Linked DNA regions of Macaca mulatta. The protein of the gene in region 1 purifies or fractionates together with the protein of each later gene. This does not show direct contact. Links are inferred from orthologs where the notes say so. Each region holds a gene or a part of one and is shown on either strand. Other genes may lie near its edges.

The links. The genes of interacting proteins can lie anywhere in the genome.
Region 2: the proteins of SATB1 (region 1) and TRIM47 purify together in Homo sapiens (affinity purification with mass spectrometry; 4 studies listed by BioGRID and IntAct, with this or other methods). This does not show direct contact. The link is inferred for Macaca mulatta from reciprocal best matches to the Homo sapiens genes SATB1 and TRIM47.

Annotation. Positions count from the first base shown.
Region 1 is NC_133407.1:30,131,764-30,136,012, reverse strand, and holds part of SATB1 (DNA-binding protein SATB1), read right to left. Parts: intron 2,180-4,249; coding exon 1,725-2,179; intron 1-1,724. UniProt on the Homo sapiens protein: Crucial silencing factor contributing to the initiation of X inactivation mediated by Xist RNA that occurs during embryogenesis and in lymphoma.
Region 2 is NC_133421.1:85,585,204-85,589,981, forward strand, and holds the start of TRIM47 (E3 ubiquitin-protein ligase TRIM47), read right to left. Parts: upstream 3,107-4,778; 5' UTR 3,074-3,106; coding exon 2,393-3,073; exon of another isoform or gene 2,370-2,392; intron 1,357-2,369; coding exon 1,261-1,356; intron 981-1,260; coding exon 750-980; intron 587-749; coding exon 388-586; intron 1-387. UniProt on the Homo sapiens protein: E3 ubiquitin-protein ligase that mediates the ubiquitination and proteasomal degradation of CYLD.

The DNA of each region.
Region 1 (4,249 bases):
TTACTAAAATAAAGAATGCTACCAGAAACAGGAATACTTAGAGGGCTGACTTTTCATTCATTTTCAATAATTATCCCCCAACTGAATATAGGTGTCATACTAATTTTACCAGCTAATAATGAACACAGTTTCTTAAGCTATAAAGATATGGAATTAGGTAAAACCACACAACTTTAACCTGAGACATAGCCTTGTGCAACTGCCCTTTTAAAAATAGACAAACGTACAAAAAAAAAAAAAAAAAAAGATGAATCAACTGAAAACAAACACTGAATTAGAGGCTTTGTCAGGTCTCCTAACTCCCCATCTAGTTAAGGCAAGCCAAAAATAAGTCACAGCTGGGATTCTCCTAGGTATGGAAACTCTGCCAACTAGGAATTAATACTAGATTATTTCTGTACCAGAATTTTATTCTTATAATCATAATCACATAATAAACAAAGTAACTTAAATATGAAAGGAAAATGGGAGTCAGGCCAAAAAATAAGATAAATTGACAAAAGAAAGAACAGCGGTAAAACAAAAAAGTTGAAAAGGCATAATGTCCTCATTCTAATTAAAGTTATGCGGTTTTTCTTTTTTTTGTTTGTTTGTTTGTTTTGGTTTGGTTTTTTGTTTTGTTTTGTTTTAGTATACCTGGGCCAAAAATAAACACCATATATATAATGTATCATACTAGTTTCAAAACAAAGAAAAAAATTATTCTCATTCACAGTTCAATAGAATGCGTTTAGGGCTTCTCAAATATCTTTATCTTGTCACCTCTCATATACATCACTTTTTTCCCATGACCCTCTTAAACATCTTCCACGCTGATAGACAGTATCTTCACAGGAATTGGGCCAGGAAGACAAAGTTGTGCACATTAGGGGTATCAATAAGCAGGCAGTGAGGTCTCTACAAATGGGTCTGCAAACTAAGGCCTGCCAGCCACACTTACTCCATGGCCTGTTTTGTAAATAGTTTTACCGAGATACTACCATACCCGGTGCCATTCATTTATTGTCTGTGGCTGCTTTATTACTCTACAGTGTAACTGAGATTTTATGTGTTTCAAAACCTAAAATATTTACTATCTAGTCGATAACAGAATAAAGTTTGCTGATGCCTGGTCTAGACAATGAAGTTTGGAAGACAACAGCATGAGGGAGAGCACAAAGCTTACCAACATATTATGTTAATACATCATATAGTATTTTTTCAAAATGATTGCTTAGAATTAAGTGGATTATTGCTTCCAAGGTGTTAACAACGACGACGACGATGATGACAACACTGCTGTGGAACTTTAATAGGGAACATTTATATACCTAAGTTTGATATGGGCAGTAACATAACATACATGGGAAAGACGATAGGCTAGAAGCCTGGAATCCTGCCAATGGCCTTGACCGAGTCATGAAACTTTTCTTATCTACTATAGTTTAAGATTCCATTATATAAAAGCACAAGCAATGCCAGTTTAAAACATGTTTGACATTTAATTAGTCTTTCAAAGCCCCTGAATTGGGATCAATCTGCACATAGGTTTCCCTTGATTCAGAAGTGTATCATAGGAAAAGGCGTGATAAAATTGAGGCTCCACTAGGAATAGGTAATATGATCACATGGAGAGAGAGAAAAAATGTTAGTACAGAAGTAAAATAATAAACTTCAGTTATAGATGGGACAAAAGAGAGAGAAAAGGGGAGACAACACAGAACCATTTACCAAACACAACTGACCTGAGTTCTGTTAAAAGCCACACGTGCAAATACTGCCTGGGAGATTCCTGCTCGTTTCAGTTCATCGCGTACCCACTGGTAGATTTCGGAAGACACCTCTGTGTTGGTCGAAACCTGTTGCTCCAAAGGCTTATTCATAGATCTACTGACAGGGGGAGGGTGGTTCAAGTATTGTTGGTTTAAGGACTGCTGGGCTAAAAGTCTATTCACTGCATACTGCTGGTTCAGCAGCTGAGCCATCACCAGCTGCTGGTTGACCAACTGAGGACTGATAGGCGTTGATACGAGCCCAGGGTGCAGGTTTGGAAGAGGGGTCCGGACAGAGGGCTGGCTGCCATGGGAGAGCTGCGCAGGGGATGGAGGCTGCTCGGCTGTGTTCCCTGGAACTGGTTGCTGTCCAAAATTGACATGATTGGCGCCTTGCTGGGATAGCTCAGAAAGACTATCCATTTCAACTAAAGTGGACAAAAAGTAAAATCACATTTAGCCAGCAATGATTAGCATTGATAAAGATTTCTAATCACTTCCTAAATTAAAAAAGGGTAGGCACAGGGCACACCCCAAATCCAAAAAAACCAAGAAAATTTCAAGTTGCAACTTACCAGGCTGTGTTTTTTCTCTCCTTTTCTGAACAATTCTACAAACTTTGGAAGTGGGACAGCACTCCTAATCTCATTTTTAAAAAGTGGTTTAGATTTAAGGCATAAAATCAATTATATCCAAATTCTTTCCGACTAGTTGTTCACTCTCACTTATTACCCCAAGAAGGCTTATAAGCAATATTTTTTAAAAAATGGCTTCTAAAAGAATGTCATTTGCTTAATGACAACTAAAAACAGTTAGCTGAGAAAATAAACTTATAATAAGCGACTAAAAATTTTACAAATATATTCTCATGGTATTCATTAACTTTAGTACTCTAGGAAAAAGGTGTAGAAGAAAAAATATGACGTAAAATGTTACCTACTTTCAATTTTTACCTAGCAGTGAATAGAAGTAGTTAACGTAATAAACAAAAATGGGTATAATAGTAAGTGCATATTGAATGCTTGCTGAATATCATATATGCCTTGTTTCATTTTAATTCTAACCATCATGGGCAGTAGGTATATCTGGAAATACTTTTTAGAATAAAGCAAGTGATTTATTGTATATCAAGCCAGCATACCCAGTGTTGCTAAGATCCAAATGTTTTTCTTCAGGAAGCTATGGCCATCACCAGATGCTAAAGACAATCTTGCAGGGAATCGTTCTGGTACGATGGTGATGCTGTCATGATTTTGCAATTTATTCCCACCTACCCAGGATGAATGCTTCTCCCTTGGCTAGGTTCCTCATATGGATTGGCTGAGCATCATCTCTAAGTGTGTAAATGCTTTTCTGTACGAGCAGGAGACTGGTTCGATGCTCTTGGCTGGAAGGGCTGAGCATGAAGCTGTACATAAACAGGAGTTTCCAAATTGTACACAGACTTCCCATGTATAGACTCTAGTTTGATTTTAATCATCAATTCTCTTTTCATTAAATATGCAGGTTTTACATTTAGAGGAACTTTATCATAGTGCTATAGCTCCTGATATATGCAAAATATAACTAAGAATTGGGGAAGAAACCTTCAGTTTCTACCAGTGATATCAGCCCAAGTGGGCCATTCACAGAGAGTAGTAATTCAAGCAATTATTCCAAAAATGATGCATTGTCTTCATTACAGCCTTAAGCTATAAAAGGCAAAGAATCCATTTTGGTAGATGGATGGTTTTTCTTCAAATATTAAGAGCTAAAACATGCTCAAAATTTGGGTTTCTTATTGCTTAAAAAATTTTTAGAAAAAAAGTTATTAAATGAATGTAAAGAAATAAACAGAAATAGATTTAAAACAGGACATAATGCCCATTCCTGTATTATTTTAAAATATATGTTTTGGAGGGTACAAGTAGGTGAAAGAGAATATTAATAAAAATTAAAACATTAACCTTAATCACAGTGTTTGCTTTTGTGAACATTAACAAACTCAACAGGGAGAAAATGCCGTCATCTAAATGCTTAGGTACCATACACAACTTTTATCTGTCATTTTACACTGCAGATAATTTTAGTGTACTTCTTGCATAACAAATATTCACCTAAAGTTATGTGTTAAGATAGAATGCTCTCTTGGAATTAAAAGTTTAGAAATGATGCAATAATTGCTCTGGTATGAATGGTAAAGCAGTATGCTTATCAAAGTGCCCATCCATGGGGGCTGGGGAGTTAGAGCTATAAAAATCACTTGATCTCTATTGTGGAAACTATAAATATAGTTTAAGAAGTTTAATTTCCTTAAAAATTGGGTGTAAAAGTAGGGACTTTCTCATTCAACCAGACAAAAGCAAAAAACCTAAAAGCATGACTTATCACTGAAAGAAATCACAGCTAATATTAGCTATTCAAGGCCTGGTTAGGTCTTCACTGAGATGTTAAAAAATGACAGCTCCCCTCCTAACGCCTCGATTTTCTGCATGTCTGACAACCAAGTCAGTTTGGCT
Region 2 (4,778 bases), on another chromosome or scaffold:
TGCCCCCCTCCGAACCTGTGACTACAATCCCTTCCCCCTTCACTTCTTCCCAGAGTCCAGAGCCACCAGGGAGCAAGCACCACCCAGACGTGGCACGCTGTGCTCACACGCATGCCCGTTGCCTGTGTTCTGCTCCTTGCCCCACGTGCTTCCCGGGCCACAGCCCCTCTGGAGCTAGAGGGTGGGCTAGGAGAAGCCCCCTCTACCCCAGGTCCAAGGGGCTGATTGATCCCCACAGGGTGGCAGCTCTAGTCACTGGCAGGATTTGGGCTCCTCCCTGTGCCAGGCACAATTTTCCTCCTCCACTTCTGGATGGGCACCAGGCCTGGGGGCCTGTGCGAGAGGCTGGGAGAGGGTGAGTCATCGGGGGAGTGGGGCGGTGCCCACCTTCCGAATCCAGCTTCTGTGGCCCGTCCTCGTTGCCACCCGGCCCCCTCAGCTGCTCCCACTGGTTGGCGCAGGCCACGGCCAGTACGTCTCTCACTGCGCGGACAGCTTGGGAAGATTTGGTGAAGCTGAGCTCCCTCGGGGGTCCAGGGCCAGGGCCACACCCCTCCTCCAGGGCCAGCCTTAGTGCCAGCAGCTCCTGTGCCAGACAAATGCCCATTAAAACTCTGCTGGCCATGGCTCCTCCTTGCTGGGGGTGGAGGCGGCTCTGCCAGGAGGTCATGCACCCACTGTCTCCTCCTCCCTCCACCCCGACCTGTCCCAGCTTCTGTTCCTTCTGTGGCCCCCAGAGCGGCCCTCACCTGCAGGAAGCTGACTGAGTCGGCTTCGGGGACCTGGCTGAGATTCTGGCGGGCTCGGCTCAGGCGGCTGCGCTGTTCCTCCTGTCGCCGCAGGTCACCCTGGGAGCGGCCCAGCATAGCAGCTTCCCCCTCCTCGATGAAGGCCAGCACCTGGGTCTGGAAGCCCTGCAGGGCAGCCGCAGCCTCTGCAAACAGCCGGCTCACCCTCTCCCGCTCCGCCACGGCTGCACTCTGCACAGGATGACAGTAGCGGGGGCAATGAGGGCAAATAACCGTCCTGGACTGTGGCTCCCTCCTTCCCTGACCCCAGCTTCCCACTCACCCTCTTGAGAGGACAGAGGGGCCAGCCTGAGCCTACCCTGCATCTGGGCCAGGTCAGGGGACACTTGTGCTCAGTGGGTATGCGCATGGCTTGTTTGGAGTGAATTGTGCCATGCTGAAAGCATACACTGCCAGGAGTATGCCCACTGCAGGGGAGGACAGGGATGGAGGCTGGGGAGGGGTGTCTGACCTTGATGAGGGCCACTGTGCGCCTGGACTGTGCAATGCCAGCACCCAGTTCGTCCATGCGGTCCTCCACGGCGCTCAAGACTTTCGGCTGCTCAGCCTGTGGACAACACCCTCCATGAGTGTGAGGTCTGGCAGAGGCCACAGCCCTGCCCTGGGGTCCCAGGCCTTGCCAGGGGAGAGAAGGGGGTGACCGGGGAGTGGTATCTGTGCATTGGGTGGGACTGGAGTGGCCACGATGTCCCATAATATGCCAGAGGTGCCTGCAGCCCAGGCTGGTGCCTTTCCCGAACGCCTGGGGGCCCGCAGGCTGACTGGGCGTCTGCCTCCCGTCTCTGACAGGAGGCCCAGTACAGGGCCTTCCGCTGGTCTCAGTGTTACTCAGATGAATTTGAGAACTTCCTCCAGCGGGGAAGAGGCACAGAGTAAGCGAGTTAGGTGCGGGGATTGGGGGTGACTGCACAAGGAAGCATTAAGCTGCCCTGGGGATCACTGTTCCCAAAGAACCTGCATCCACAGTCCAGGCCTGAAAAAAGGGGATTCCGGGCAAATCCCCTAGGTCTTATGAGTCACTGCTCCAGGCAGGAGAGACGGAAAATCCCTTGGCCAGAGGCGCCAAGACCGGGCTGGAGGCCAAAGGAAACTGGGGGCGGGAGGTAGAGGCCGCGGCGCACATGCTCCCACCACTGGCCCCTGGAACAGCTGGACAGAGAATCTGTGTGCCCGGCCGCCCTCCTGCCGCCTGCCACACCCATCGAAAGCCGCAGACTTAGCCCAGGGCAAATCTGAGCTGAGACCGGGTGAGCCCTTGGGCGGCAGCAGGAGCCACGCTACCGGAACCCCGCGGGCCTGACCCGGTTCCCTCCCGCCTACGCCCCCATAGACCCCGGCCCGGCTTCAGGTCCCCTGCCCCCTCTTCGCGTCCTTGTCCCGTTCTCTCACGTCCCTCCTCCCTTCCCATCTCCATCCCGCGAGCAGATGACCTTGTCAAGGCTGGAAGGGACCGCAAAGATCCTCAGGTTAGAGGAGGAAATTAAGACCCAACCCGGGAAGGCTGAGGGGTCCAAGGTCCTCGGCCCGCTCGCGCGCGGTCAGTCACCAGCCCCGGCTCACCCGAGTGTGCCCCCGGAGCCCACCTCCTGAAGCGCGCGCTCCTGCTCCAGCGGCACCAGCTCGTGGCCGCGGTGCTCCTGGGCGGCGCAGGCCTCGCACAGACACACGCGCTCCGCGCGGCAGTAGCGCTCGAGCGGCCGCAGGTGGCGCGGGCACAGGCTCTCCTCTAGCCGGCGCAGCGGCGGCACCAGGCGGTGTCCGCGGAGCGCGGGGCTGCGCTCGTGCGGGCCCAGGTGCGCGGGGCAAAAGGAGGCGAGGCAGGAGAGGCAGGACAGCGCGGCAGGCAGGGCCGCGCCCTCGGGGCACGCGTCGCAGCGCACTGGCTCTTCGCCCGCGGACCACGGCTCGGGCGCGCAGGGGGCCGACGGCTCCGGGGCGCTGGGCGGCGCGCTGGGCACCGAGGGCTCCGGAGCCGGAGCAGGGGCCGGGCCGGGGCCGGGGCCGGGCCCGGGGCCCGAGCCCTGGCGGAGCTGCAGCAGCTCGGACAGCGTGTGGTTCTTGCGGAGCTGAAGGCCGTCGGGGAAGGGCTCCTGGCACAGCGGGCAGCGGGCCGCGCCTCCGGGTCCGCCGGCGCCACTCGCGCCACGATGCGGCCAGAGTGCGCCCAAGCAGGCAAGACAGAAGTTGTGGCCGCAGGGCAGCGTCACCGGCTCCCGGAGCGGCTCTAGGCAGATGGGGCAGCTGAAGGGACCACTGCTGTCCATGGCTCCGCGGCCGCCCAGGGCGCCGCCGATTCTGCTCCGGCCTGGGAGGGACCCGGGCCGTTCGCGCCGCGGCACCGCCCCCTGGGACCTAGGCCAGGGCTCCGGCCCCCGCCCGCCCCCAGCTCGGCCCGCCCCGCAGCGCCGCCCGCCCGCCCGCTGGTCCGCTGACTCTCAGTCCCCGCCCAGACAACGCGGGGAGGCCTCTGAGCCCGCGCGACCCCCAGGGGAGTCCGCGTGGTCCCAAGGAAGGGAGCTGCTGAAAGGGTGTGAAACTGAGGGAGCGCGGGCGGAGAACGCGAGGGGTACAGCGGAAGAAATGGGAAGGGCTCAACCTCCATCCCTCTGGTCCTTCTGGGCCTGGCCAGGGCTCCGCAGGAGCTGGGCGGGTCTAGCTGTGTCACGCCTGCACCTTTGCGCTCGACCCCTCCCCGGCACCCTTAGCAAAGTTCCCGAGCTGCTGACTGCAGAGAAAAATAACTGCTGATGTACATATGTTTTTGCCCCTTAGCGACTCTATTTTTTTTTTTTTTTTTTTTTTTTGAGACAGAGTTCCGCACTTGTCGCCCAGGCTGGAGTGCAGTGGGGTGATCTCGGCTCACTGCAACCTCCGCCTCCCGGATTCAAGTGATTCTCCTGCTTCAGCCTCCCAAGTAACTGGAATTACATGCGCTCACCACCACACCCGGCTAATTTTTGTAATTTTTTGTAGAGATGGCGTTGTTGTCCAGGCTGGTCCAGGCTGGTCTTGAACTCTTGACCTCAGATGATCTACCCGCCTCAGCCTCCCAAAGTGCTGGGATTACAGGCTGAGCCACAGTGCCCAGCCCCTTTAGCGACTCTGTTTACACCCAGTGGGGAACTTGGGCTTTTCTAGATACGAAATGGGAAGTTGATATCATTCCCTGAGTCCCTTGCCTGAGGAATTTAGTTCTGGTCCCTGGACACTGGGGGCACCTGTGGTAGGGCTGGGGGTTCCCCAACTGGAAGTATTTAAAGCTCATCTAATTATGCACTTAAAGTGGTGCGTTTTATTGTATGAGTTATATCTCAATAATGTTAAAACACTACACCGGAATGACAACAGAATAAGTAAAGTAGCGCTGATTATAACCCAAAGTGTAAAATAAACATCTATGGGTCCATGCCGATATAAATAAATAATAAATTAACAAGCCAGGGAGAATAGACACATTTCGCATTGAAAATTCCAAATAATGTTATTTATTATTTTTTTTTTTGAGACGGAGTCTCGCTCTGTCGCCCAGGCTGGAGTGCTGTGGTGCAATCTCGGCTCACTGCAAGCTCCGCCTCCCGGGTTCACGCCATTCTCCGGCCTCAGCCTCCCGAGTAGCTGGGACTACAGGCGCCCGCCACTGCGCCCGGCTAATTTTTTTTTTCTATTTTTAGTAGAGACGGGGTTTCACCATGGTCTCGATCTGCTGACCTTGTGATCCGCCCGCCTCGGCCTTCCAAAGTGCTGGGATTACAGGCGTGAGCCACCGCGCCCGGCCTATTTTTATTTTTTTAGATGGAATTTCGCTTTTGTCGCCCAGGCTGGAGTGCAGTGACGCAATCTCAGCTCACTGCAACCTGTGCCTCCTGGGTTCAAGCGATTCTCCTTCCTCAGCCTCTCGAGTAGCTGGGATTATGCGGGCCCACCACCACACTCGGCTAATTTTTGTAGTTTTAGTAGAGACGGGGTTTC